Alligator mississippiensis: one gene and its partners. The protein of the gene in region 1 binds, or shares a complex with, the protein of each later gene. Links are inferred from orthologs where the notes say so. Each region holds a gene or a part of one and is shown on either strand. Other genes may lie near its edges. The genes, in order: RAD9A, RAD1 and checkpoint protein HUS1.

The links.
Region 2: the proteins of RAD9A (region 1) and RAD1 are in contact, whole or in part, in a crystal structure (PDB 3GGR), measured with the Homo sapiens proteins. The link is inferred for Alligator mississippiensis from reciprocal best matches to the Homo sapiens genes RAD9A and RAD1. Residues at the interface, in NP_004575.1 of Homo sapiens: Leu76, Ser82, Val83, Ser86, Leu90, Lys92, Leu112, Phe116, Gly117, Val118, Arg119, Lys120, Thr121, His122, Asn123, Leu124; in NP_002844.1 of Homo sapiens: Glu165, Ala166, Ser168, Glu169, Asn195, Ala196, Gly197, Ser198, Ser199, His200, Leu201, Asp202, Tyr203, Pro204, Asp206, Ser207, Glu211.
Region 3: the proteins of RAD9A (region 1) and checkpoint protein HUS1 are in contact, whole or in part, in a crystal structure (PDB 3GGR), measured with the Homo sapiens proteins. The link is inferred for Alligator mississippiensis from reciprocal best matches to the Homo sapiens genes RAD9A and HUS1. Residues at the interface, in NP_004575.1 of Homo sapiens: Leu157, Pro158, Pro161, Val176, Ala186, Lys191, Ala192, Met193, Val194, Thr195, Glu196, Met197, Cys198, Leu199, Gly200, Asp203; in NP_004498.1 of Homo sapiens: Thr84, Asn87, Arg90, Ala91, Lys93, Thr94, Phe110, Ser121, Ser123, Ser126, Arg127, Ile128, Val129, Thr130, His131, Asp132, Ile133, Pro134, Ile135.

What each region holds. Positions count from the first base shown.
Region 1 is NC_081825.1:176,210,805-176,220,711, reverse strand, and holds the start of RAD9A (cell cycle checkpoint control protein RAD9A), read right to left. Parts: upstream 5,477-9,907; 5' UTR 5,426-5,476; coding exon 5,344-5,425; intron 1-5,343. UniProt on the Homo sapiens protein: Component of the 9-1-1 cell-cycle checkpoint response complex that plays a major role in DNA repair. The 9-1-1 complex is recruited to DNA lesion upon damage by the RAD17-replication factor C (RFC) clamp loader complex.
Region 2 is NC_081826.1:279,959,956-279,969,246, reverse strand, and holds the start of RAD1 (cell cycle checkpoint protein RAD1), read right to left. Parts: upstream 3,846-9,291; 5' UTR 3,807-3,845; coding exon 3,576-3,806; intron 1-3,575. Other genes in the region: BRIX1 (ribosome biogenesis protein BRX1 homolog), read left to right, coding at 4,213-4,347, 5,203-5,314, 6,008-6,051, 7,537-7,607, 8,263-8,312, 8,422-8,495, 8,617-8,667, 8,951-9,052. UniProt on the Homo sapiens protein: Component of the 9-1-1 cell-cycle checkpoint response complex that plays a major role in DNA repair. The 9-1-1 complex is recruited to DNA lesion upon damage by the RAD17-replication factor C (RFC) clamp loader complex.
Region 3 is NC_081827.1:159,819,079-159,829,459, reverse strand, and holds the start of checkpoint protein HUS1, read right to left. Parts: upstream 4,055-10,381; coding exon 4,003-4,054; intron 899-4,002; coding exon 771-898; intron 257-770; coding exon 80-256; intron 1-79. Other genes in the region: uncharacterized protein LOC132250309, read right to left, coding at 8,603-9,559. UniProt on the Homo sapiens protein: Component of the 9-1-1 cell-cycle checkpoint response complex that plays a major role in DNA repair. The 9-1-1 complex is recruited to DNA lesion upon damage by the RAD17-replication factor C (RFC) clamp loader complex.

The DNA of each region.
Region 1 (9,907 bases):
GCAGGCTGCCAGGGCGTGTGTTACCCACAGAGCCAAGCTGGCCAGGTGGAGCCCTTTGCTTTGTGAGTATCTGCTCCCACGCAGAGGATGTCCCAGGATGGTGCCATGGAGACAACCAGTGTCCTAAACAATGCAGCCGCCAGGCAGAGGAGGCAGGCTAGACTACAGGGCAGGCTTCTCAGACATACTTCCCTTGAGGACTGCCCGCTGTCACGGGGCTGTCTCTTCCCTCATTCTGAAAGACTCATCTCCGTGGCTGAGCAGAGACGCTTAGCAAAGGCCCCTGGACATTCTGTCTGCATTTTATCCGTTACTGGCCTGGAAACCACAGACAGGGCCCAAGAAGGCCATGGCATGCCTGGTTTCCCTTTCTCTCTCTCATTTGCATGGCATGTAGGCTGTGAGTGACCTGTCTCCATTGCTAGCCTGCAACTCGTGAGCTGTCATTCAGACCAAGCCCTTTGTGATATACAGAACAACTCTGGTACAAATGCTTCACTGTGAAATAATCTAGGTCTGGGATCCTGAGTGAATAAAAATCAAGGCAGCCTGCAAAGCAGAGAATAAGGAATCATGCACAGGAGGAGTCTTGCCTGAGTACTACAAAAAGGCATAAGAGGAAGTTGGTGCTAGAAGAGCATACAGTCACATGAAGTGCACTTCATGGTGCTGATCTGGAGCCTCAGACTGTTGCAGGCATGAGGACATTGGTTGGTTCAGGAAGCTCCCAGGAACAGTACCTGTCTTGCAGGTTCAGCTGTCCATGTCAACAGGAGGCATTTGTCAGCGCAGGATGGTATCTTTATTCCTTTGCTACTATTGTTCTTCACCACATGCTAAGTGAATCCTTTTGCAGGCTGAGTGCTGGATCCCATGTAAGAGAGTAGTCCCCAAGAAATGAACCTGTTGCTGAACAGGCAGAATGTGAATGCCTTGTGTAAGTAATGTCCTCTTCCACTGGCACCCTGATGGGTGGGACCAGGGGACTGGCCTCAGCCCTAACCTGATACTCCAACAGATAGGATTGAAGCAGCAGCTGCAGTCATAGGTTTCACTCCATGTGCGTTGTAATAGCACCATTGCAGAGGGATTGAAATGGTTTATGCTAAAGCAGAAACTTCCTTTGTACTCTCTTCAGAGGTGGAATTGTAAGGAGCCCAGGGCAGCCAGGGCAAACCAACTGCTTCATGGGTAAGAGAGGAGCCCCATCTGCCATCTGCGAGGGAATGCCCAGGCCTGAACTTTATAGTCTCCAAAGGTCTCAGTAAAGAACATCCAGTGAGCAGTGATGCCAGGGGTCTAAGCCTGGCTTTCTTCACGCAGGCTCACAGAGGGGGGAACAGCTTCCTAAACTGGAACCCCTGCCATCAGCAGTGCCTGGCAGCTGCCCCTCTCAAACAGATCCTGAGCAGACCAAGTTCATGGAGCAGTCATGTATCACCCATACACCAGGGAGGCTGTGTCCTACATTTTGATATAATTTACACAAGAGGCTCTGGGATGCACCCAAAAGCTCAGGATATAGCTAAAGTCTTGGAGAAGTGACCCATGCATCAGTGCTGATCAGTTTCTGACTATAGGGCAGTTCCTGCCCACTAGCCTCCAGCTCCAAGGCTGCTGAGAGACCTACCATGACCAATCAGACCAGCTGGCCCCCATCTAAATTCTGTCACTCATCCCAGAGCCTGCCAAGTAGAGCACCACTGCCAACAGCCATGTCGGCATCCAAGCTGGAATGTGTCCAGGCTCAGCTTTTTTGTTACCAGCCCTGAAAGGAGAGGATCCAGACAGCACCCCCAGCTGTTTGGGAAGAAGTGAAAAGTCTTCTGCCTGAGTGAGGACAGACTGTCTTCTCTACTTATATCTCTGTGAAACAGCCATACCAGAGGCTCCTAGCAACCCTGTAGATTGCTCAGGTGCTGCTCCATCACACACCACATCCTCCTGAACCAAAGGTCCCAGCTTCCCCAGCCCAAAACACAGCAGTCAGCCCCACTGACCCTGGGAGGGCTGGTGAGAAAGGCTTGGGCTGGCACTTCATAGCCACGAGGCAGCCAGACTGCAGGCAGCCCCTTGACCTTTGGCCCAGCTGCTTCAGCTCAGAAAGATTAATGGTGACCTTTGGACACAGGGAATCTTCAGGATACTTGAGCACCTTTTTCAACAGCTCTTAGCTGTTTGGAGGCTGTTTTGCCAGCCCACTGAAAGGGGAAGCCACGTATTCTACAGCACAACTAAGAAGGCGACAGGAATTCCAAGCAGACTAGGTGGAAATGTACCAACAAGGAAGACTGGTCCCACACTGAAATGCAGAAGGGCCTGTGAAGGGCAGGTGAAGCATCCACCATACTTATTCTATTGGCTGGGGAGTGTGTGGGGAGACAGGGTCTCTGGTGCAGTGAAGGTAAGAGTATAAAACAGTGGTCTCTGGCTGGGGGGAGAGTGTTGGGAAAGCTACCTCTACGGGGCATCCCAGCTACTGCTCATGCAGTCTTCAGACTAAGCCTCTTTTCCCCCCGAGGAGTGGTAGCATCTTGTACCAGTGAGAGCAAAGTGAGATGCTGAACAATGTCATTACATCCCAAGCCCTGCTGTTGTCTGATCCCGTATCTCATGGGAGGGGACTGTGCTGATGGGGTTAGGATAGGGCTGTCTTGGTGGAGACAGACTCTGTTCCACTAACCACATTGGCATGACATGGTCTATTATGAAGTCAAGCCAATGAGCCCTTCATTCTGTGTCCTGGGGCCTGGCAGTGGGGAGCACCTTTTTAATCACTTTGTGCTTTGCATAAAAGCTGCCCCTGACTTTGAGGATTTGCTCTGTAGCCCTCTCTCTGTCTGCCCCTTTCCCCACTTCATCTGAACCAAAAAAGTGATGAAAAGCCCACAAGCTTTAAGTAGAGAAATCAGAAACATGGATTTTGAATCCTACCTCTCCCTCCCTCATCCAAAGAGTTTATTCTAGGGCAGTGGGGATTACTTCCCTCACAGATAGTCAGATATTACTAGGCATGTAGGCATGCAACTCAGTTCTTGCAGAAAAGGACAACTTTAGGGAAATGTTACAAAGAGGCACCTAAGCTTTTTTCTTTTTCATTCATGTGTTCCTCTTTCTCTCTTTCTTCCCCACCTCCCCGGTACCTGTGTCTGGCACGCATCTATGCTGAAAGCTGGTGTCGTAGTGTCTGTAGTAGGGTAAGTCCCCAGGCTTCCAAATCAGGAAAATTTTCCTTGTCTGGGCTCAGTGTGGCATTGGGTCTGTAAAACTTTCCTGGTGGCATGTTGCATTGCACCATTCTTACCCACCAACTCCAACCAGTTTAAAAAAAGGCATCTTCTTGGATTGGGTATGAAACACACACAGTTTGAGGCAAGCATTCTGGGCTCACGTTTTGCCTGTTAGTGTTGCAAAGGGGAAAAAAAATCCCAATTTTAATCAGTCTGCAACCCACATTTCCCTACAGTCAGATAAAAAGCATCTACAAAAAATACAGGACGGAGAAATATGTGTATAAATGTGAATGTATTACATGCTTAAACTTGTGTTTATCTAAGAAGAAACACATAATTGCGTACAAAGACATTATATAGCGTACTGTAAAGATATCAGTATTTGCGCCAATCCTAAAGAAACTTAAACATATTACAGTCTTTGTACATGGTGCAATGTAGACTCCTTTAAATCTAATGTATGTGTGTCTGTACATATATATAGATGAATGATATTTAAATAAGTTGCACATTACAGCAGAGTTGCTGCTCAAGAAATAGTGGAAAGGTTGAACTATTCAACCTCTTAGGGTGAATTCTACCAAAGAAAAAATAGTTTTAGACATTTCAAACAAAAATATGGGGAGGCTGGAGTTTATTGAAACTATTATTGAAAAATTATGAGTTTTACCTTTTGGAAGTACCAAGAACTGTTAACCTAAGACAAGTTGGTTTGTAAGTGCCTTTGTTTTAAACAAAGCATCAAGAGAATGCTTGCAAAAATTAATACATTTCCCTTCCCAAAGTTCAAAGGACTGTAATAGTTTTCCATTTTCTATAAAGTGTAAATACTAGACACGTTTTAACAACAGAAGATAAAAAACATGGTTCACAAATGAAAATAATTTTAGGTTCACTTATTGTATTTCCTTCTACAGAACAAAAAACCCTTCCTGCTTTTCTTGTTTGAAAAAAATTTAAATATTTAGTAATGTGAGTAAACAGCATTTTGGGTTTTGTTTTATTTTTTGCTTTTTGCCATATCCCCAACATACCAGGTTTAATAACCCTTGATAGTTTATTTTAAATCTGAAGTTTATTTCCAAAGCTCTCATCTAACTAGAGGGACACCCAGAGCAAAGTTTGTCCTAATCAGATGAGGTTAATTGGAAACAAACTCATTTTTTAGCTGTTGTAATATACAAAAATAAATATTCATGTTTGTAGATCCTTGAAGCAAAAAGCCTCATGCATCTCTAGTAAGTCAGAATGCTAAGTCCCAACACAAGTGAGTTTTTACACAGATCTTGAAAATTCTTAAAAGCCCCTTACTAGAGCAGCTGAACAGAGAGGGGAACCGTCCCAGAATTTGGACATCAGAACTACTCAGTAGTGAAGTGAGTTTCGTATGTATTTTGCAAGCTGTGGAGTGGGATTTTTGCTGGAGTAAGAACTGCAGGATTGGGCCCATAGCTCTATACAGCTCTTGTGCACACAGTTAATAGAAGTATAGATGAAAAACAATGCAAAAATAGAATGATGCCTATGTACGTGTCTTCTGAACCCTTTGGACTTTTTCAAAAGCACTTAAATCTACATTGTGCCTATGTATGATATATACATACATACATACATAATATGTATGTATATACATATTACCTATAAATTTTTATGTATTACATGTAATAATTTCCTGGAGAGAGGGGTGCTATGTCTTTTTTAGAAGTTATTCACCTGTTTTAGGGAAGATTTTTTAAAATTTTTGCATTAAGAACTAACAACATTTTTACTACTAAATATTTTAAATTGGCAATGAGGAGTGAGTTTAAAAAAAAAAGGGTCAAGCAGATGGGAAATCTCTGCCTCCTTGTTCAACTTTTAAAGAAGTTGGAGCCTAATGCTGAGTCACAATATGCAATTGAAAGATCTTGTGTTGAAATGGGGCTGTGATGCCTTTTGCTGATTAATGAATCACAAATCTAACCCCCACAGCAGGAACAAGGCAAAAGTAAGAAAGAATGAATGAAAGAAGAAAACTTGTGAACTTTAGTAAAGAAGGAAGAATGGGAAATAACAAACCAATCCCCGAGAAAGGGCTCAACTTTCTTTTCACCAAAATGTTTGCACTCACCCCCTCCATCCCATTCTGGTGTCTGTCGCCTGGCGAAATGCTTAGCAGGGTTAGTCACCTGCCGATGACTAAACGTCTGCATGCTGCTTCCTTTCTCCCTTGTTTAGAGGCAACAACAACACAAAAATAAAAAACAAAAGCTCAACAATTGATTGTGTTTTGTTTCCCATGAAAGGGCAGCAGCAGAGGGAATAAAAAATAAACTAGCACTGCTTTTCCAAGTCCCGCGTCTGGCATTTGGGCTGGGGCAAGGGCAGGGGGCTGGCTTTGGGCTTGGATGTTTTTTCCCCCTTAGGGAAAAACTTTTTAAAAATCTGGAATGGGGAGGGCTGTACATGACAGCAAGAAGGGGAGAGACCGATCCAGCTTCTGTTCTTTCTTTCTATATCTATCTATCCTTTTTGTAACCATCAGTATATCTTTCTTCCTTTCTTTTCTACTCTATCTACATATTCTTCTGTTTTGTTTTTCCTATCTTTCTTTTCACCCGTCTGTACATTTCCATCTTCCCATCTGTCAATCTCTCCTTTCTTTCTTTCCATCTCTGTCTGTATCCTTCTTCCTTCCTCCTCACCCCCCTTGCTCCCCCCATGACACACCAGTGTTTCTAACACAGGGTGGCACCGCTTGCTTACCTCACCCCCTCTTACTAAAACTTTCTTTTGTGAAAAGAGAATAACCAATCTGCCTCTACCTCTCCTCCTCTCCCCCCTCCGTACCCCCCTCAGGGACTGGTGTTTCAGTTTGTGGTTAAAGCTTTACACGTCAGGAAAAAAAAAAGAGGGTTAAAGAATATCCTCACCAAAAAAAAAAAAAAAAAAAAAAAAAAAAAAAAAAAAAAAGCCAAACCCAAACCAAACCCTAAATGAGTGGGATTGGCAAATGGGATTATTAATCCTGGCCAAAAATAAAGGACCGCAGACTCTGTGCAGCCCCCTCGGAGAAAGGAAGCACTAAATCACAAACCTACCTTCAAGGGCTGCAAGTCCTGAGTGTAGCTTTGGCTTTACCAAATGGATTTCAGAGCAGGTAGGAGACCTCTGCACCTTTCCCAACCTCCCTTCTCTAAAGGCAAACCAGCCCTCCCCCTCGTCTTTGCCTGCTGCGTCCCATCTCCCCTCCCAGCACCCCCTTCACTCATAACTCTTCGGGAAACACTTTAATTTTCTGCAAGCCTTCTCCAAATGCCACTAACAAAAGCTTTGCAATAGCCAGAGTTCTGGGGTGTATGTGAAAGGGGTGGTATTCTCTCCTCCCCTTTAATCCACATTTTAAAAACTTCTCTCTTTCTTTTTCCTCCTTTTACTTTTAGAATAGCAAATTGCCCTTTAGCTCAGCTGCTCCCTACCTTTGCCCAAAGCTGAAGAGCCATTGGGGGGGGAAGAAAAATGAATGGAGCCTGCCCTTGTGTACAATTGCATCAAATACATTCTTGAAAGCAACCTGGTTCTGCTTAACACTTGAATTTAAAAAAAAAAAAGCAAGCAGCTTGGAGAGAGGGTGTATGCAATCTTTTTTTTTTTTATTCTTGCATTCCTGGACACCAATCAAAAGAGCAAATCAAGGGAGGTGGAAAGGGGGAGAGAGCAAGAGGGAGAGAGAGAGAGAGAGAGCATGTTTAAAACTTTGCACACACGCACCAAAAAAAAATATCCGAGACAGCTTTTTCCACCTAACACCCAAGCAAACACAAACCAAAACAAATAGGGAAAGAGGAAAAAAAAGAGAGAGTGAGAAAGAGACAGGGCAGAACAGATCAGGGAGAAAGGGAGATTTCACCATTCGCTTGGGCTTTGGGTTTAGAGTAAAAAAACTAACCAAAAAGTTTGTCTTCTATTGATCAAATTCTGCAGCCTTCCTTCCCCCACCCCAACCCCACACTCTGAGTCTACTATGCTATATGTTGCTGGGGAGATTTCAGGTAAGACCAAAGTGTGTCTCTACTATTTTGGCAGAGGATGGGGGGGGTGTAGGGGCGGGGGTCTTGCTGTGCGTGTCGTGTTTTTCTTTTCCGAACCGCTGCTGATTTTAATTTGATTTGATTAAAATGTCTGTCTGGCTTTGTGATTGATTTAAGACTTTCCCCCTTTTTTCCTTTCTCTCATTCCCTCTTTTCCATGCATGTTTGTGATTACTGGGGAGGAAAATGCCGCTTAGCACGGAGAATTAAAATCCAGAACTGACAGAGAGAAGAGGAAAATGAAAGTCACCGGGACCTAGACAGGGCAGAAATATTTTTTTCCCATGGCTTGATTTAAGCACTTGCACCATTTAAAAAAAAAAAAAGCGAAGTATTTAATTGTTAATAGCAAGGTTTAAAAACATTCAAACATAAAAAAACCAAACAGCTTGAAGTTAGGTTTTGGGAACCCAACCATATGCTTCCTTTTGGAGGGGAGGTGGTCACCCTTAGAAATTCTCCAGAACTATTCTTGGTGATGTAGGGATTTTTTTTATTTTTTTTTTTTTTGGTAATCCTTGGAGTTTTAAAATTTGCAATTTAGTTAGAAAACTGCCTCTTGTATTTTGTTACTTATGGAAGGGAGAAAAAAATGCTTGCAGCAAAAGGACCAGCCCTGGAGTAAGGGTGTAATTTTTATAAGCAATGGGGATTTTGCAGACAACACTCCAGCCTTTCTGGAAAAGAGGTTACATATAAAATAAAATTAATTTTAAAAACAACCCTTAAAAGGTCAAAATTTTGTCTTTCTGGACAGACTCTTTTGACAACACCGCTGTTTGGTTTGGTGCACAGGATGAGACAAGATTCTCTTCTTGGATGGAGTCGGTTATTTGAAAAACAAAAAGTTTGTATTCATTTTTTGTTCCAGACTCCGGAGGTGCTGGAGTGAGTCAGGAAGGGCATAGTGGTAGAGAAGGACCGGAAAGAGTGAGGATAGAAAGACTTACTGGATTTATCCAGCTATCTTTGTGTTTATCTCTCCATCTATCTATCTAGTGACAGACAGGCACACAGAGATATGGGGTGCAAGACAAGGCAAGATTTGGTTCTTCAGATCTCCAAGAGATAGAACTCAAATACTCTGTGTACAGTACCTTGAGAAACATCCTGTCTGTCTGCTTTGTAACTGGCAAGAGCTGTTTTTTGGCCAAGACTGGAGAACTATGAAAATCTCTGGACAGACTGAGGAGGGAAAGAGGAGATAAGAAGTGGAAAGAGAGCAATATCTCAAAGAAGGAGAGATGGAGAAGGGCAAGTGTTCAGCAGACTCCCACCTCATCCCCATCCACTTCCTCCTCCAGGTGGATGGGGCTGGGGAACCTGGTGCTTCTCTGTGTTTGGGGGAAGGGAAGGAGCCCCAAAACAAGCTGTGGCGCTCGGCTCTTCAAAGCCCCTAGGCTTTGTCACTCATCAGAAACACTTGGATCCTGACAGGAACTGATGTACCCAGCTCCTATTTAGCAGGCTCTGTGAGGGCACGGTCCCTGCGCACATCTGGGCTGCATTAGCCCCAAACCAAAAAAAAAAAAAGCCTCCAAAGGGAAATGCAGAGGGCTGTCCTTACGGGGCTGGGCTTGGGGAGGATTTATTCCCTGCTAAGTGGCACATTTTTTCATAAATTAAAACCCTTTCCCAATGGTACCTGCACCTACCCACACTGGCAAGCTCCCTACATATATGTGCAGGCACTCTCTCTCTGTCACACGCACACACTGCAGCAGACTGTTGGTCATTGTACATCCAGCAGATTCTAGCAGACACACACAGAAATGCAAACACATAAAGAGGCAGATTCTTCGCCAGATACACAGTCAGACACTCTTACATACACACCCTTATATACCCACATAGAGGCAGACTGATAGACGGAGTTGCACACAAACTCGCACGCATAGGCAAACTCCCTCTCCTTTCCGTATCCATGTATGCCAACATAAACACCCAGACAACCAGATGGAAATACACTAATTCCAATCCACATGCAAGGAGGGACCTGCACCAACACAAACAGTACATACAGCCAGGCTGCATCTGGAGAGCTATTCAGCAGTGGTACAAGTGCCAGCATCAAATGAGTCCTGGAACTTTAACATCATGTCACCAAGGCTTGCTTGTGACACCATGTTTGTGTGTGTGTACACATGTGTCAGTACCCTGTTTGGCATAGGGTTTCCAGGACACTGTATTGAAGAAGTCAGAGCCCTAACTGTATTAGCTCTTGTTCTATTGCCACGCACAGGAGTTGAGATAGGGCACTAAGTTTGCTCCCGTTTCATAGATTCATAGATTCATAGATGTTAGGGTCGGAAGGGACCTCAATAGATCATCGAGTCCGACCCCCTGCATAAGCAGGAAAGAGTGCTGGGTCTAGATGACCCCAGCTAGATACTCGTCTAACCTCCTCTTGAAGACCCCCAGGGTAGGGGAGAGCACCACCTCCCTTGGGAGCCCGTTCCAGACCTTGGCCACTCGAACTGTGAAGAAGTTCTTCCTTATGTCCAGTCTAAATCTGCTTTCTACTAGCTTGTGGCCATTGTTTCTTGTAACCCCCAGGGGCGCCTTGGTGAATAAATACTCACCAATTCCCTTCTGTGCCCCCGT
Region 2 (9,291 bases), on another chromosome or scaffold:
CAAGGACAGAGCCTTGGGGGACCCCACTGGTCACAGGACACCATGATGAGTGACTTCCATCAATTACTACCCTCTGGGTCCGACCCCGGAGCCAATTTTGCAGCCAGTTGATCGTGGAGGACCCAAGGCGACAATTGGCCAGTTTCTCTAAGAGGCGATCATGGGAAACCAGATCAAAGGCTTTTTTGAAGTCAAGATATATGACATCAATCTCATCTCCCTTGTCCAGGTGATAGGTCACCTGGTCGTAGAAGGAAATGAGATTGGTCAAGCAAGACCTACCCGCAACAAACCCGTGCTGGCTATCCCTTAAGATGTTGGCGTCGGCCAGTCCATTAAGGATGGCCTCTTTAATAAACTTTTCTAAGATCTTCCCCGGGATAGAAGTCAGGCTGATGGGCCTATAGTTAGCCGGATCCACTTTCCTCCCTTTCTTGAAGATAGGCACCACGTTGGCCTTCTTCCAGTCTTCAGGCACTACACCAGAGCGCCAGGAGTTTTCAAAGATCCGCGCTAGAGGCTGGGCTATGATGCTCGCCAGCTCCTTGAGTACCCTGGGGTGAAGATTGTCAGGGCCGGCTGACTTGAAGGTATCCAGCTTCTCAAGATGTTCCTTCACAAAGTCAGCATCAATGGAGGGCAGGGGATCACCCTCACCCGGACTTCCTGGCCCTGTAGCGGGCATGGGCGTCCCATGGGGCTGATGAAAGACCGACGCAAAGTACCTATTTAATAGGTTGGCTTTTTCCTGGGCGTCAGTTGTCAGTTGCCCCATCTGGTTCAGCAGGGGTCCAACGTTGCCCCTGCTTTTCCTCTGGCTCCCCACATATCTGAAAAAGGACTTTTTATTGTCCTTGATGCTCAAAGCTAGTTGGAGTTCAGTTGCAGCCTTGGCTTTCCTGGTCTGATCCCTACAGGACCGGACCAGTGCAGAATAATCCTCCTTGGAGGTGACTCCCATCCTCCATCCTTTGTAGGCCTTTCTTTTTAGCCTCAAGAGGTCTGCTAGGTCCCTGGAGAGCCAGGGGGACTGCTGTGCCCTCTTGCTGCCTTTCCTCCGAGATGGAATAGACTTAGTTTGTGCATTGAGGATCGCTCCCTTGAGGAGCAACCACACTCTTCTTGAACTCCCCTCTCTCCGTGGTCATGGTCCCTTAGGGCCTCACTGACGAGCCTCCTGAGCTTGTCAAAGTCGGCTTTCCTGAAGTCAAGGACTTGCGTGTTGCTGACTGATTTGCCAGCTTTTCGGCTGATGGTGAAGGTGATCAGCTCGTGGTCGCTGTCACCCAGCTTCCCATCGATCACTAGGTCGCCAACTAGGTCATCCCCAGTAGCCAGTACCAGGTCGAGCAGCGCTTTGCCTCTCGTTGGCCCATAGACTTCTTGAGTCAGGCAGAGGTCATCCATGCACGAGAGGAAGCTTTGCGACCGCTCAGATTTTGCTGAGCGATCCTCCCACGAGATGTCTGGGTAACTGAAGTCACCCATGATAACCATGGTCCTGGAGCATACGGCCTCAGCCAGTTCCCGGGCAAACTCCTGGTCAAGCTCAGGACTTTGGGTGGGAGGTCTGTAGTAGACTCCCACCTTTGTGTCCCCTGTGCCGTGTTCCCCACGGATTTTAACCCAGAGGGTCTCCAGCCGTCCACCCTGGTCGCCAATATCGGCTTGCAGGGACGTGTAGCTTTCCTTAACATAGAGAGCTACACCCCCGCCCCTGAATGGTCTGAACTACAGACCATTCAGCCTCACCTCAGTCTCCAGAAAAGTTATGGCGCAGGTCCTCAATCGATTTCTAAGGACTTGGAGGAGAAGAAAGTGATCAGGAACAGTCAGCATGGATTCACCAAGAGCAAGTCACGTCTGACCAACATGATTACCTTCTGTGATGAGATAACTGGCTCTGTGGATGTGGGGAGTGCAGTTGACATGATATACCTTGACTTTAGTAAGGTTTTTGATACCATCTCCCACAGCAGTCTTGCAAGCAAGATGAGGAAGTATGGGTTGGATAAATGGACTGTAAGATGGACAGAAAGCTGGCTAGATTGCTGGGCTCAGTGAGTAGTAATCAATGGCTCAATGTCTAGTTGGCAGCCAGTATCAAATGGGAGTGCCCCAGGGGTCAGTCCTGGGTCCAGTTTTGTTCAAAATCCGCATTAACGATCTGGAAGATGGGATGGAGTGCAGCAAGTTCATGGATCACACCAAGCTGGGGGGAGCAGCAGATATGCTGGACGGTAGGGCTAGGATTCAGAGTGACCTTGGACCAATTGGACAAATTGGAGGATTGGGCCAAAAGAAATCTCATGAGGTTCAACAAGGATAAGTGCAAAGTCCTGCAGTTAGGACGGAACAATCCCATGTACCAGTACAGGCTGGGGCTGAGCTGGCTGGCAGCAGCTCTGCTGAAAAGGATCTGGGGGTTACAGCGGACAATAAGATGGATATGAGCCAGCAGTGTGCCTTTGTTGCTGAAAAGGCTAACAGCATACTGGGCTGCATTAGTAGAAGCATTGCCAGCAGATCAAGGGAAGTGTTTGTTCCCCTTTGTTCAGCAGCGGTGTGGCCACATCTGGAGTACTGTATCCAGTTTTGGGCCCCCCCCCCATAGAAAGGACATGGACAAATTAGAGTGAGTCCAGTGGAGGGCTACATAAATGGTGAGGGGGTTGAGGGACATGACTTATGAAGAGAGGCTGAGGGAATTGGTCTCATTTAGTCTGGAGAAGAGGAGACTGAGAGGGGATTTGATAGTATCCTTTAACTACCTGAAGGGTGGTTACAAAGAAGATGGAGCTGGACTGTTCTCAGTGGTGATAGATGACAGAACAAGGAGCAGTGGTCTCAAATTGCAGCAAGGGAAGTTTAGGTTGGATATTAGGAAAAACTCTCATTAGGAAGGTGGTGAAGCACTGGAACAGGTTACCTAGACAGGTGATGGAAGGTTTTTAAGGCCCAGCTTGACAAAGTCCTGGCTGGGCTGGTCCTGCTTTGAGCAGGGGGCTGGACTAGATGACCTCCTGTGGGTCCCTTCCCTTCCCTTCCCTTCCCTTCCCTTCCCAGCCTAACTGTCTATGATTCCATGTCAAGAGGACTGAACTGAGCGCTCTCAAGTTAACCACAGGAATCATCTATTGATCCATGACCTGAAGTACGATTCCCTAAAAGGAATGATGCCTGAATGCGGAGTACGTTGAACTCCTGAAATAAATTAAATGCCAGCTATTAATTACACTTGTAAGAAACTATCATAAAATATATTTTAAGGGAGGGGGGGAGGGGAAGATGAGCATGAGTTACTTCAGTAAAGACAAAGAAGAGGTATTTACTGCAATGGCATTAGGGAAAAGGAAGGAAACAAGGCTGAGACTCTTAGGATGGCCTGCCTCCAACTTGATGACCCAGCTCTCGCTGGCGAGTGGGTGACTTAGCGACCCGTTTACAGTAAACGCGAACACTTATTTGCCTATTTTGGGGGTACGGTCGTTTTTCAGCAAATACGCTCATGCTGAGCTTCCCAGGGGCTCATCTCCTCAAAGACGCGACCGCGCGGAACGGGGCCGGGCAGTGACCTGGATGAAGGCAGAGGCCTGCAGGCACTTGGCGCTCTCCACCGTCACCTTGAGGCCGTTGGCGGTGGCCACGCACGTGGCGACATCCCGGAAGTGCACGGCCCGCAGCATGGTGGACAGGTGCCGCGCCTTGTCCAGGCTGGCAACCAGCACGTAGCGCGCCCCGCTCCCATCCGCCCCGGCTCCGGCCCCGGCCCCGGCCCCGGCCCCGGCCGGCAGCAACAGCGGCATCACAACCGCGGGCTGGAGAGAGCACTTTACGGCCGTCGTAAAAAAGAAAAAAGGGGCGGCAAGACGTAGGGGCTATACTTAACGACCGCCGTAAAAGGCACGGCGATTTACGGCCGTTGTAAAAGCCGGCCGCCAGACGGGGTTGTGCTTTACGGCTGCTATAAAACGACGCCCGGTGAACGTGGGGATGGTGCTTTTTGGCCTATCCCCTGCTGTTTTACGGTCGTCGTAAAAGAAGGCCGCCGGCTGGAGTAGGGGTGCTTTATGGCCATCGTAATACGACGTGTCCAGTGTGGATACGAACGTCACAAAGCGCCCACCACACGGGAGGCAAGCCATAGAGAGGGAAGTGGTTCAGCGCAGAGCGCCGACTTCCGGCGTGGAGAGGAAGCGGGGTGCAGGCACGATGGCGGCGGCCAAGAGGAAGCGTGGGGCGGGCGCGGGCCGGGCCGGCGCGAGGAAGAGAGCGCGGGGCACGGCCGAGGGGGCGCGGCCGGGCCCGGCCAGGGAGGAGCACCGCGTCCCGGCCCCGGTCTCCCAGGTGAGGGTCTCTTCTCCCTGTCCCCGGGGGCGGTGGTGCCGCGCGGAGTGAAGCAGGATGCGGCCCCGCTGCCCCTGCCCGGCCCGCGCCGCCTCCTGTGCGCTGTGCCCGGCCTTGCTGGGGCTCCCGGCCCCCCTGCCGAAACCGGGCCACCTCCGCCTCGCCTCGCCTGGCCTGGCCTGGCACGGCACGCAGGGTCGCGTCCCTTGGGGAGTCCTGCGGGCCGCATGTGGCCCGTGGCCTGGGAGTTGAGCCCCCCTGGTGTCCGTGGGCATCGGTCCATTTCTGATTGCCAGGTGCCCAAGTGTGCGGCCGGACGGCAGCCTGGGTACGGTGTCAGGAGCGCAGCTACTCTTGGACCAGTGTATAAAAAGAATCCAAAAAAACCCCGTTTTTCTTGTAAACCCAGCACTGCGTAAGAGAGCTTGTGACTTGACCGTAAGGTCTCTTCTGGGCAGCTGTTGAAAGCTCATCTTGCTTCTGGATCAACAGTGTTGATTTTGGCTCCAAAACGTGTGCGTGTTGTGTGTAGTGCTCAGGGCCTTTGTTTTTGTGATTTCTTATTGGCGTATCCAAAGGGACGCTCATCCGGGAAATCTTTTGTGAACCTCTTAAAACATCAGTATCTAGGTGTAGCATGGCAGATGGCTGTAGATAGTCCAGTAGGATGGGTCAGGAAATGTATGCAGAAGCTTATAATAAATCTGCAGCCTGTCACAAAAAAATAGATTTTTAAGTGGAAGCTTTTATAGAAGTGCATTACTCTTTTAATAGGTTGAAAATGACTGATTTAGTACAATTTTTATTTAATGTTGGAAACATCATATTTTCACCTGAGCTTTATATTTCTTCTAGGGAAAATGGAAAAACAAAGAGCGCGTACTAATTTTTTCTTCCCGAGGAATTAACTTCAGGACGAGACATCTGATGCAAGACCTGCGAACATTGATGCCCCACTCGAAAGCAGGTAGTGTTGATGTTATCCATGTCTGACTCTACTTATATTATCTAGATTAGTTTTATACCTTTTAGCTCCAACTGCCTGCCTTTTGACCACATAGTTCTCACAGCTGGCTGCATGGTGGTGTCCTTATTTACTCTTAAAAAAACCCCCAAAAAGCAAAAGCTTGACCATACAAACAGTATGGTCTTTGGGAAAGTCACGTACACCTCCATTTGGTAAGCAGTCACACCTATTTGCTTTGTCTCTGGTTATCTCCTTGGCTTTAGTCAAGCTACTTGCTTGCATGCAGTTACAAACGTTCAGAGTATTTTGCACAATTGGGATTTTTCACTGGTATATGTGAAAGAACTGCTGCAAATTGTGATCCACTTCTAGCACCGCAGGCTGCTGCTGCCTTCTTGTCTCACTGCAGTCTTGCAGCAGAGTCCGTAGAGCCCTTCCTGATGTGCTCCAACACAGGGCTGGGTCCCAATCACTGGCAGAACAGAGGGTTTCAGAATGAAAGTCAAGCATAGGTGTGAAGTAACAGTGAAAACCAGTACTGATAAATACATAATTGCTGAAGATAGATAGTACATGAACTTGTAATTATATTGGGTGAAATATGACTTCAGCTTCTTTGAAGTGTGTGTGCCTCTTGGCAATATGAAAAAGCATATAAGCCTACTCAACAACACTTTTGTTGTTGTTTTCCAGACACTAAGATGGACCGTAAAGACAAGCTGTTCGTAATTAATGAGGTAATCTTGTAATTCATCTAAAGCTTGAATTTCTGATGAAACCAAGATACGGTACATGCACCAAGTGGGAAGATAGGTGAACTCAAAGAGAACTGTATTATACTGCATGAAGATACAGATCACCCTATTTGGTTTAGTTTGGGTTTCTTCAGAGGCAGTATAACTATTTAGGGAAAAAAGTTATTCTCCTGTATAGAGGTATTCTTGTTTAATTCTGACTCTGAAAAGCAAGACTAGTAAGTCAAATAATTCTGATTGTCCTTCATGTTTAGAGCTCTCATTGAAACCAACAGAAGTGCTATCCAAGAAGGCTTATAAGATGGAGCTCTGTGTTATGAATTCCAAGTATGCCATGACAACAAATACTTTGAATAACAAGTGTAACAAAAGGGTTGAAGGGAGGACAGGGGTGAAAAAGGTGGCTGTCACAGCTGCTGTTGCCAAAAAATAAGATAGACATAGTCATGTAAGTAATTTTCTAAAATACTTAAGTTTGTTTACAGATGGCATTGTCTGTACAAGGCTGAAGCAGGTGGTGAAGAAAAGTGCATAGAACATAGTTAAGGAGTTGGGTTAACCCTGTAGTACAAATGGATGCGCTAACAGAAATACTGCAGAGTAATCGGAGCAGTCTGGGGTCTCTTTACAGATAAGATAAACTGGTGGCATCAGAGGGTAAAGTGACAAGAGACTGCAAAAACATGTCTGTGGCTTTGCTCTTGGTAAAGAGACTTCTGGGAGCAGGAGCCCGTGAACCACTGCTCCACACTGATCCTGATGCATGTAAGGTGGTCATACACTGAACTCTTCTGTTTCAGGGTGCTGGAATAGCTCTTGGTTAGGAAGAGTAGGCTAGTAATCCTGTAGTTGCTTTATGTGGCTGCCTCTGCTGATTTTGTTGCTTAATTATGTTAAGTACCTTCCTGGGTGAAAATTGCCATTCATGATCTTTAAAATGAGGTTATTTTGAAATTGTGAGCTGATTATTGATTTAAAAAAAAAAAGACTTCATTTTAAAAACAGGAACCTGTATAGGCTAGAAGCATTTTGTTCTGTCACTCCATGACCCAACCATGAAAAATGCCTTACAAAAGGTTTTCCTGCAGTTTAAAGTTGGGAAAAGTAAGTAACAAATAGGTTGACTAACTGACTTAAATCCATGACAACGGGCCACTGGCAAAGCCAAGACTAGAACCCATATGTCATGGCCCCTGATGCAATGCCCCATGCATACACAATCCATGAGACTGCTTGGAAATACATTGTATTTAATGCTTTTCTGGCAAGGCAAACTCCAAAAGCCTTTTGAAGAGGCTGCTAATTTAAATGAACTGTTCTGCAGCTCTAGGTATTAATAAGTACTGTAGGATCTTCAGATTTGTACCTATTTATTCCGGAAAATTATTTTAGGGACTAATTTGGAAGGTTTGTGAAAAGGTCTTCAGAGCGTTACTCATGGTTGATTTGTCACATGTATTCATACAGGTTTGTGAAATAAAAAACTGCAACAAGTGTATCTTTTTTGAAGCCAAAAAGAAACAGGATCTTTATATGTGGTAAGAGAATACATTATACTTTATTAAATATCTTGGTATCGTTTCCATAGCTCACATTTTAACTAGAGTCCTGATTAAAGTAATAGTTAAATTCAAAGATGTAGAAGAAACTGACTCTCCACAAATGACCCATTTTAAGGGTATCTGCAGTCAAAATTAGTTGAACTTGCTGTAAGTGCGGAAGTACACAGTAGCAAAATGACTTCTTTAACCTTTGTTTGGTACTTTTTAAAATGAAAATAAATTTCACAATTACATTCCCCTACATACTGGTTTCAAAAGTAGATATAATTTTTAATTTATTTGAAGCTGCCAAAGAATTTCCAGTTTACCTTACTGGATGTCCGTAGAATTTTAAGCTCCGCTTCCCATAGCTGTCAGGACCTTTAATATTATATGGGAAGAGAGCCTATAGTTTTAGGTTTATTTATCATTTTAAAAAGCAAATGTACTTCAAATGCTTTCTGTTAAGTCTCATTGTTTTAAGGTCTACTGACCACAGTGCTCGCAATTTGAAGAAAAATATCTAAAATGAGCTGACTGGCAGTTTCAAACCACTTAAAACCATTTAGATAAATTGTTGGATGAGAAGTATTATGGAATTATGAAGTGTGTTTCTTGCTACAGTGCTATTAGCTGACTTTTCTTTCTGCAGGCTTTCAAATACACCCCAAGGACCATCAGCCAAATTCTTGGTGCAGAATAGTAAGTCAAGGTTTCAGGCTATTGCTTTTATATAGGTTCCTTCCTTCTTCCCCCCCCCCCCCCCAATCTTTTTTTTACTGAACACTTAACCTGTTCCAAATCATTGTAGTTCACACACTTGCAGAGCTGAAGATGACTGGAAACTGCTTGAGGGGGTCGCGGCCTCTTTTGTCTTTTGATCAGGCAAGTATAATGTTTCAGATTTGCTTGACTCTTTTTTTTGTTTGTTTTCTTGTTCTCTATACCACTGCTGCTTTTTTTGTTTGTTTGTGTGTGTGTGTAAAACTGTATTTTCCTCTTACAGGCATTTGATCAGGAACCACACTATGCTTTGTTAAAAGAGTTGTTTATTCAGGTTGGTATTAGGTATTTCTTGCTTCTTACAAACCATCTTTCTATTAACATTTCAGTTTTTTTAAATACTGAAGATTACACTAATATATTTTTGCGTAGGCCACAATGCCACAAAGACTTATTTTCATGATGTCACTGGGGCTTTTTGTGGTTTAACTACCATATATTTAAGCCTATACGGTTGAGAACATGCAACGTTAGATTTAAGATGAACGCAAAGATAAATTTAATAATTTGGCATCTTGATAACTTTTTAGCTGTTTTTTTGTCTTTTTTTTTTACAGATCTTTAGTACACCACAGTATCATCCCAAAAGCCAACCTTTTATAGATCATGTATTCACATTTTCCATCACAGACGACAGGATCTGGTTCCGGAATTATCAGGTTAATTATCTCCCTTAATTCTTTGAATTGCACTAACCTCATAACTTGAGAATCATTCAGTGATTTCATATGAATTGAAAAGGTAAACTAATTACCAGGATGGGTTTATATCCAATGCTCACATGAGTATCATGAGTGTTTTTATAGTAGATTATAAATGCCTTTTCATTGTAGATGAGCTTTCAGCTCTAGTTTCTATAAAACAGACTTACTTTGTAGGTCTAGGCTTAAGATAATTT
Region 3 (10,381 bases), on another chromosome or scaffold:
AGACTACTTGGAACAATTCACAGAAAGGAACATCCATGTACTGTCACAGGAATCATTTAAAAATCCTTTCTGCTCTTACCAGTTCCACAGCTACTGTGAGGCAGGGGCAGTGCTTGTTAGTCAACTTGATTTTCACTGTCTTGGCATTCTGGGCTGTTTTTAAAGCTCTTGATAGGTTTTCAGGCATCAGCTCTAAATAAATTTCATTGTGCTCTGCTGCTACTCCTTCCATCTGGAACTCATCAAAGAAGTTTCCCTTATAAAAGCAAGAAGAGAGAAGGAAAGAGTTTCAAACAGAGCAAGTTACAGTTTGCAGAATTACAGTACTGATCTTTAAATTCTGAAACAAATGTGGAAAGGCCAAAGTTCCCCTCTGCTCCATATGCATGTTCTATAAGAAATAGACTTTGTGCACACATAGGATCCCCAAGCATGGACCCATTTGCAAAATTAGGGCTTGCCCTGCTTTTGCCATTCGTAGACAGAAAGTCACTCTTATCCATTCACCAGCACTCAAAAACCTGAGACAAAATAGATGTTAAGATCACACTAGAAAAAGAATTCAGACATATTAAAAAATGTCATCTATGAATAAAAAAATCAATCCCACAATGACCTGCATGCTACTGAAGTGTTTATAGGTCAGGTTCCTACTTCTACAGATAGCAAGAAACACTACCTATAATGTTGAATGCACAGCTTCATCAAAGATTGAAATATATTAAGTGTTTATATATGATGGGATGTCACCCTCGTTTTCTGGCACTTACCTGACTTAACTCACACCACATGCTGACCCCTCCATTTGCTACTTTGTCAGTGAGGATGAAATAAAGTTTGCCTGGTGTAAGGCGCAGAGTGCAGGTCTTGGCTAGTTTGGCAATTGTGTTGATTACACCTATGGATAAAGGTTCATTAAGGAACTTCTAGCATAGGAGAAAAAAATACGTTCATAAAGTTGTGGCTTGCAGTTCCATAGGAAAGAGCATGACAGAAATAAACCAATGACAAGCTGAAACTTCTGCTTTGTACTATCTGTTTACTTATTTATTCAACTGATGTGACAACCTTCCCAGCAAAGGCTCAGGGCAGCTTACAAAAAGAGAACAGAATAGCTTATGTAACAGGAGAAGGAACAAAAGAACAAGACAAGCACCAACATAAACTAGAAGTGCCCCAAACAAGACCCCAATCTAGGTTTGTTTGCTACGTGTCTGTCCAGTATAGAAAGGTCTTACACTGCTTCCAAAAGATGTCCAGCCTTGGGCTGTCCTTTCAGTTACAGAAATGCCAAGACACCTGTCTGTATTAAGATTGCCTTTTGTTAAATTTGACCTTTCTATTTTAACCTGCAGATTTGAACACAAACACCTTGTTAATCATTAATATCTATATTTTCTTTTGTTACTGGTTTAAAGAACTAACTGGCTGCTTGTACAAGACACAGGGATTTAATTCAGTTTAGCTCTCCCTAAATTGAAACAGTAGGTTTTTAAAAACACTGCTTCAATTTAGGCAGAATTAAACCGAACTAAACCCCTATGCTATGTACACAAGGGTGGGAGCCATCTCCTTACCTGCCTTTTTGGCAGCAGGCATGGGGGCCAGCTGCCAGTGGGCTAAGTGGTCCCTGAGCTGTTCAGGGGGCCCCCAGGCAGCACCTGCCCACTGGCACCCAACCTGGGAAGTCCCGGGGGGCACCACAGCCATGAGGGAAGCACCGGGCCCCTGCACAGCTCAGGCAGACAGGCTCCGGGGAGGGGGAAGATCAGGCTTGCTGCTTTTTTCCTTTAGTGAAGCCTGCCTGCACAGGCTGCCACCAGGTCCCACAACCCCTGAGCTGCGCGGGGCCCACCAAGCCCTGAGTACGTCAGCTTCCAGCACCCCATGCACTGTTGCACTGTTAGGTAGCAAACTAAAACACCTCGGAGGTGTTTTATCTTGTTATGTACCAAAGTCATTTAAAGCGGAATACGCTGCCGAACATGCAAACAGTAACACCATTAAAGTGGTGCAAAAGAGTATTTAAGCCACTTTAAATGTCAATTTTGTGGCGTGTACAAAGGCCCACTGTGCCCATTAAAGGACATTTTGAGAGTGAAAATGTAGGTCTTCAGACTCTGACACACCCCTAGCTCATGATACAAATGTTCACTGCACAGGGATGCCCTAGTCTAGTTCATCTGGAAGTCATTCCACTCAATCCAACCCCATGCCCCCACCCAATGTGGAGCTGTACTTACTGCCCCTCTTCCACCCCACCTGAGGGAAAGGTGAATATCCAAATGCCACCTGGGGCTGGGGGGAAAGGAAAGAGTGGAGGAGATTGGAAAATTATCTCTGCCCTCAGGATTTCAAACCCTCGAGTGAAAAAGAGCAAGTCATGTGAAAGGAAGGGTTTTGGAATTTTTATTTATTTATTTTACATTTCCTAAAGGAGAGGAAAAATAAACCAAACAGGCTCCCCTAATAGCCTAACTACCTCATCCCCAGCCAGTGACATGTATGGTTAGAGAGCAGAACAAAAAAAAAAAAAAGGCCTTTGCTGGGAGGCATTTTTTAATTTGCAAGAAAAACACTGGCATTGGGAAGGGAGTTCAGGGTCAGGACAGCACTTCTCAGCTATTATAGATGCGAGGGTTGTTCGTTAGATTTCAGGGTGCCCTTGGGAATTTTTTTTTTAAATATATATTTTGGATAATTTTACGTGTTCCTGGTCAAATTGGCCAGATCAGTTCCAAATCCTTTGAATTGTTCCAAAACCATACGTGGCCATACTACCGGCAAGTATCCTCCACCCCAGACTTTTCAGCCCAGGGCTTCAGATGCTTCCAAATCCTTTGACGGGCATCCTACATGCAGGCCCAAGCCCGGAGGCTTGGGGTTTGGATGCCCCTGAATTTTACTTGCCCTCAGCCATACCGCTGCAGGAGCAAGCTAGGGAGGAGTCTCCCGTTTCATGGATTTCATAGATATTTAGGGTTTGAAGGAACCTTAGTAGATCACCGAGCCTGACCCCCCTGCCCTGGAGTCAGGTGACCCCAGCCAGGTGCTTGTCCAGTCTCCTCTTAAAGACCTCCAAGGTGGGGGAGAGTATCACCTCCCTCGGGCGCCCCTTCCAGATTCTGGTCACCCTAACGGTGAAGAAGCTCTCCTGATGTCTAATATAAACCTGCTCTCTCAGTTTCTGGCCATTGCTCCTAGTTACTCCAAGGGGTGCCCTGGTAAACAGAGCATCTCCTATTCCTTGCTGTGTCCCCCGAACGAATTTGTAGACAGCCATTAGATCCCCTCTCAGCTTTCTCTTGCGGAGGCTGAAGAGATCCAGGTCCCTCAATCTCTCCTCGTAGGACCTCACCAGCAGGCCCTTAACCATAGGAGTTTCCATAAAGTCAGGATGTAGCCGATATCCTCGCCAACTACGAGGCTCTGGTAGGGAGTCCCGCCCGCGACAAACGGCCATTTGCGATGCATTTTAGCTCCGGTATCAGACCAGCGCAGTGACTGCGCTCGACCTTAGCCCAACAAGGCTGATTTTCACCTTTTGGACAGCAGAGCAACTCCCGAGCTCAGGAAGGCCACAGCGGGGCAGGGCGGTGGTGCCGCTATCGACTCCACTTGGAAACCGCTGGGGCTTGCCTCGTGAGCAGGGCATAGAGGCCAGTCCGGTTGTCCTCTGTGGATACGAAACCCCACGCCTTTCCGTCCTCTTATTTTTCTCTTCAAGAGAAAGATAGGGGGCGTAAAGGCGTGGGGTTTCGTATCCACAGAGGACAACCGGACTGGCCTCTGTGACGGACACCCTGCTTGGGAACCGTGCCTGCGCGCCGACTACCCGCAAAGGCTCTCGCGACACCCCGGGGTGTTGCGGCCGTCAGTCCCGGCCTGCGCGAGCAGGGGCGGGCACGGACGCTCAAGGCAGTCCGGGGGGGCCACGGCGCCCTGGAGCAGGGGCCGGCCCGGGAGGGGCGCCCCCAGCAAGCCTGACCCCGGGGCACTCACGGGTGAAGTGGTTGAGGCAGGCGACGTCCAGGATCTTGGCGCGGAACCGCATGGTGGCGGCACGCCGCGGGCGACCCGCAGTCCCGCGCGGGGCAGGGGGCGGCGCTCCCACACGCCACGCCCCGCCCGAGCCGCGCTCATTGCAGGGCGTCGGGCCCTGCTTCCGCCCCGCAGCCGGGCTCCTCGCCGGCTATGGCGGCGGCGCGGGTGCTGGTGTCGAAATGAAAGCGAGAGGACGGGCTGTTCCGTTTCATTCGGCCCAGCTCTGGGGCGGAGGTCGAGTTGGACCCGCTTTCGCCTGCCGGGCCTTGTTCCTCCTCTGGTGCCGCCCTGCGTTTCGGGAGCTGTTCTACCCTTGGCCCAACCCCCCAAAAAACGGCCCTCAGAAAGCCTCGCCTCTCGCCCCCTGTGTGGCACCGCGCTGCTGCAGCATAGCTCTGGCACTGTATTCATAATCGAAGGGGAGACGCCAGGTATGTGGGTCCATGAAGGCAGCTTTCCTTAGGCGCTCTCCGGGATAACTGTTCTTCTGGCGTGGTTGAGCACATGCCGAGGGGTTGGCGAGCGCTGACCAGTGGTTGGCGACCACCCACAGATGCCACTAGCAGTGGCGACGGCAGCCAGCAGCAATCGGAAACCACCCACAGACCCTGCCAGTGGTGGCAAGTAGTAACCACCCGCAGGCACTGCCAACAGCGTCAATGGCGCTTCTGTTGGGGTGCACCGCCGATCTCAGGGTGTGCATGCACCCCCTACACATCACCAATGTTAGGGCTTAATGCCCATTTTATGGAAATGAGAGGCTCCTCCCTAGCTTGCTCCTGCAACCATATGGCTGAGGGCAGGTGACACTTGGGGGCATCTGAACCCCAAGCCTGCACATAGGATGCTTGCCAAAAGACGTTGGAAATATCTGAAGCCCCTGGTGGGGGTGGAGGATGTTTGCGGGTTGTAGGGCCACTTATGGTTCTGGACTGACTCACGGATTTGGACTTGATTTGGCTGATTTGGCTTGGGACACAAAAAATGCCTTTAAGAAAAGAAAAGAATGGACACTACAGGGCTGGAAATGCAACCCGAAAGAGAGGTGGTGGCAAATAGGGCCTGGGGAAAAATCAGAAGACCAAGAGAAGAGGATTATGGATGGCTTCAAATAGAAAAGCGAACTCCATATAGAGCAACACAATACAGTAGCCAGGGAATGTATGGGGGAAGGGAGGCTTCTGCTTCCTACCCCTTCTGTGCTGTGCTGCCACCCCTCACCCCAGTCTGCTGCATGCCTCATAGAGGCAGCTTGTGCCACTTGTACCACATGTTGGCCAGCCCTAGATGTTATCCAAGACCCACCTGTCACTCAGGGTAAATGGGAAGCTCCTTGCAGCACACAGGTGGTAAATGCCCATTCGTCATCACAGAGGATCCAGACTCTGCCTATAAGTTGCTCTGCCCTTTTGGTTCCTGCAGTGCATGTTCTGTTGAATTGTTTGCAGCTCTACTATGTACAGTCCAGTGTCACTGTTTCTTTTCTTACTATCGTGACCGACAAGGACTTTTTGCAGTATCTTTTATTGGACCAGCTGGCCAGTTAGAGAGCTGTTGGACAAGCAAGGAATCAAGTGTCCTTCTCCCAGGTTAATTCTAACCCTTAATAAACTTTGGTGTTTATCTGTATTCGTTAACATTCTTTTTTCATTGGGACTGTCCTTGGTTTACCATCACATATGTTGGTTTTCTATTGATTTCCAGATGTTAACTGTAAAAAAAAAAAAAAAAAAATTCAAGCAATTAAACAGGAAGCACATTGAAGCAAAGTGCTAGTGGAATCAGCATGTATTTCATTTTGCTCTTGTGCCCCCTGTACTGTTCATAATCCCATAGCTATTACTAGTGAAACCAGCTACTTGAAAAAATACTCACTTCTGAGTACTGTGAAGCTGTAGGGGCAAGTCAGTGAATCACAACAGGTTCAGTTCGGTGGTAGGGTCAGTTTCCTAAACTTCTGTTGAAGTCAATATGAGCAGAAGGTGTAAGGCATCATGTAGGCTGTACTCTGGGGGGCATTTCAGATGCTGTTTACTAACAGGGTCAGGTTCTTAGCCATTAAATTACTCTTTCGAAGGCACAGGTGCACAAAGGCAACACATTCACATTAGCAAGGCCTTTCTAACCAATGCAGCACAACTGGGGAGGACTAGTGATCCTTATGCAAGCCTCCTGGAAGGTATCAGTGACCTTTTACAAGAGAAAAGTATACTACAGATATCAGCAAACTAGATTTGTGCAGGTACCTACTGAATCTGATCGTGACACTTATTCTCTGGTGTCACAGCTAAACTGCAGCCCTGCTGCTGGTAATTAAGGTTGTTCAAAAATCTTCCTAAGGGAACAGGCAGTGGTGCATCTCAGGGGTGACAGTGCCCTGAGTCTGATCAGTGAATGCCAGCTACCTGGGCTCTACATACATAACCAATTAATAGAAGGCAGGGTAGAGATGCACCTTATAGACCTAAAGTGCAGCATCTCATCTACATGAGATGCTTTACTGTGCAGTAGACTAATCTACTGCACAGTTAAGCATCACCATCAACATGTGCATGGCATTTACTGTGCAGTAAATTAATCTACTGTGTGGTTAGCTAGTACCTGTAGATACAAGTACTGTACTAGATTAACTGTGCAGTAGCTACTATGCAGTAGTACATGTGTAGATGCTGAATGGGTGCAAATTTGCTCCTGGTCAGCCACACCAGCAAGGGGCCAGCCTCCTGCCTGGAGCAGAGCCATGTGGCTGGGAGTTCCTCCAGCCACGTGGCAGGGATGCCTCCATGGCTGGCCTCCAGGCCCCATGCCTTCTGCTGCCTGGCACTGTGCCTCTCTGCCCCGGGCACTGTGCCTCTCTGCCACAAGCATGGACCAGCCACAACAGCACAACAGACACCAGCTCTGCCCCCCAGGGCCCATGCCTCCAGCTGCCTGCCTCCTGGGCACCATGCCCCTCTGCTGCAGGCACGTGGCAAACCCCAAAAGCACCTGGAATCTGTACCTGAGCCCCCAAGATCCCTGGCAACACCTGGGATGGCAGCATCCCTTACACTGGAGACATCAGCTCAGGGTCCCAGTTGGGCAGAGCAAGGGAACAGCAAACTCATAGCAGTCTGGGGCAAAGCAGATGTGCAGCAGCAGTTTGGCGAGGACACCCAGGCAAATGCCCACATCTGTAAAGCTATGGTAGCCTGCATGTGGGAGCACTGCCGCATCAAGATCAAAACCCTGCAGGCCCAGTGGGTCTGCATCACAGACCACTGCCACAGGACTTTGCCCTTCACGCGGTAGCTGGATCACATCCTGGCCATGAGGGACCCTGGCACAGGCTGCCATGTGTACTCTGAGCGGGCCAGGTCAAGCCCCGGGCCCTTTTCGTTGCTCTGCACGCAGGCTGTGGCTGGCAACCCAGGCAGGCCGGGTCGGAGAGGGCGGGCGCCGAGCTAGAATTAGGCACAGACACGTAACGGTTGATTTTAAGATTGTTTACTTACACCGAGATGGTCGCGGTGCAGGCTGAGAACTTGCTTGAGTTGCGGTTACAACAGAAAACACGAACACACGCGGAGTTTGCTAGGCTCCACGCAGACAGAACTCCGGATGTCCAGGACAAGCGCGCATAAAACTCGTTGATACGTCTTATAGAAGGTTCCGTTCGAAGACGGGAAGAGGTGGGCGGTGGATCAGGCTGTCAAACTCCTCTGAGCAACACACAGGGTTTCTATTACCCTGCCGCGCACACCCAGAGTCCCCACGAGATGGATGTGGAGTCCTCTTTGGCTTGGGCAGAAACTGCTCAAGCCTCTTATACGGTTAGCAGGCCAATCGCTAGCCGCCACATGGGAATAATTTAGCACTAGCCAATTGTGGGGCACGAATTTGCATGCAAAGAGCGGGAACTCCTTTGCACCGTGCGTTTCTGTGTTGCAAAGAAAATGCACCCTGCAAAGACCGCTGCAAAGTGGCGGGAACATTCCTTTGCACGCGGGTTCTCTGTGCAGCAGAACTTCTCCGTGCCATGAAGCTGTAAACCCACGAGGATAATTCTTAGTGCCGAAGCACACACAAAAAATCAGACCTTTGGGTCATGACATCCCCCCTTGCTGAAGGCACAATAGAATTATACTTCAAACCTATCATCCGGGTTATTAACAGCTCTGTCAATGGTTCGCGAAACTAAACGAGCAAAAACAAAATCAGTCAACAATAAAAGTTCGTCCTCAAGGGATCGAATTAAATAATAGCCGGCACACACACATATACATAAAATCATATTCATAACAAAAAACTGGACGATCATGACTTCAGTGGGCGTCATGGTGGAATCGCGCGTCAGGCCTTCGTTCCTTTCGGTGTTGTTGTCCCTCTCGGGGCCTCTCTCCACCACGCACTCCGAATCCCTGATCTGTAAAAGAACTCTCTTAAAATGGTTATTCCACTACTATTTATAAAATCACACAGGACCGCACGATAATGCAGTCGATTAAACTTATCATCACTATTAAATACAGATATGTAAACACGATTCTATACTGGACAGCTCTCTCTCTTTTCCGACTCAGCAACTCGACGAAATCGTCGAGGAGTCCTCATCGCTTTCTTCTAGATAGTGAAAACCTAACTCGTAGGCTAGCTGCCATTGTCCCACGTCTCCCAAGATCCGAAGCTGTCTCTTATTAAGTCCAGAACGCTGCAGGAGGAATCCAAACACGTATCTCTCCTCTTGCGTTCTCTGGCGTAATACTGGACGCTCGGATTCGCGGTGTTTCGTGTTCTGAGCCTCAGTCGGGCGTTGACACTCCCGATCACTGGATAGTCTTGGCTCCATTAGGACGCGCAGTCTTGACAACTGATGAAGGAGACTACTCACAGGATGATCGACCAGTGGGTTCAGCACAATCCGCAAAACCACGATGTTTCTTTGCCCGTAAACCTTAAGACAACTATCTATGCTGTCGAGAGTCACTGGAACGGTTCCAGGGTCTCGCAGGTGACGGTGAGGCCATGGTCGCATTTGTTGGAGCGGTGTTAGTCCCAACGTGCATTCTCTTGGGTTCCAGGCGCAATATGAAACTCCGATAATAGCCAGTACAAGCTGTTCTGCACCGGTGTGCTCTGGTCGTCCATCGTGCCATACGTGGGCCTTTTGTTCGATCACTCCTGCCACAAGCGCTGGAATTGGAATAGGCCAGTGGACGCTAAACGCCACCATGTCGATGTCGGTGACATGTCCCCTTCTCCATGAAGCTTGTCTCACCAAGAAGCTTGCTTCTTCCTGGTCCAGGAGGTCGGACCCAAGTTCCACGACTAGACGTCCTAACCACACAGCCAGAGTTTCTTCGGATCGGATCCTGGATTCTCTACACAAATTCTGCAGTTCGGCTCTGGAACGAGCGTAATAGGTGGTAGCATGAACTGCACTCTGCGGACCGATGACTGGGCTGCTTGATGCTGCAGGCTGATCAATTTCTTCGCGAGTTGTCGCTGTTGCTGTTTCTGTCGGAGCTGTAGTCATTGTTACAGTGGGGGTTGTTGTTGTTTCAGGCAGGAGGGGAGGATGCACTCCTCCGCTTGACTCCCCCTCCCTTCGGCAGAGGGGCGTGGTCGGCAGAATCCACGCTGCGTCGCTGGGCAGAGTCACCGGCCGAACCCTCGCGGGCTCTCCCGAAGCTCCATCCCTCTCTTCCGGTTTCTCCACGCGGTCTTCCCTCTGCTCCGTGCCATCTTGTGGGGCTTCTTAAAATCCCCTCTCTCAGCTGCTTCTCCGACCGCTCGAACGGCCATACGCAGCTGGGTCTTTAAGCTTAAAGTTTCACTCATCAGATCAGTCATAGTCTGAAAAGTTGCATTTAATTCTCCCCCCTTGTCTCACCGTAGGACCACTCTCTCATTTACGGTGCGGTCCTCCGTCTCCGGGTCTTCGTGGAGCTCGGACGGACGATTGCGACCCCTTAGTCCTGGTATTACCATGCAAGGGGAAAGCCATCTGATCGGCATCGGCTCTCCCATCTCCAGGGCACACCGCGAGCAACGGACACACTCCCGGGTGGGGGTCGGGCTTACTGCAGTCACCGGGTCGACTTCGGCAAGGGTTACACTATCGAGGGGCCTACACAGGACCCGCTCATCACTCATGATACACCCGAACGCCGTGGGGTGAAGATACACTTCTTTCCCTTCTAGGGCTCCGACTTCGGAAGCTCTTTCTTCTCCCCTTAGCGAAAGGTGTCCACGGACACATTTCCTGCCCGTTCCGCCCGCCTGGTGGTACATGATGTGCGCCTCCAGTTCTGCGACGCTTGCTACGCTGCGTCTCCCACTTCTCCAAGGGCAGTTC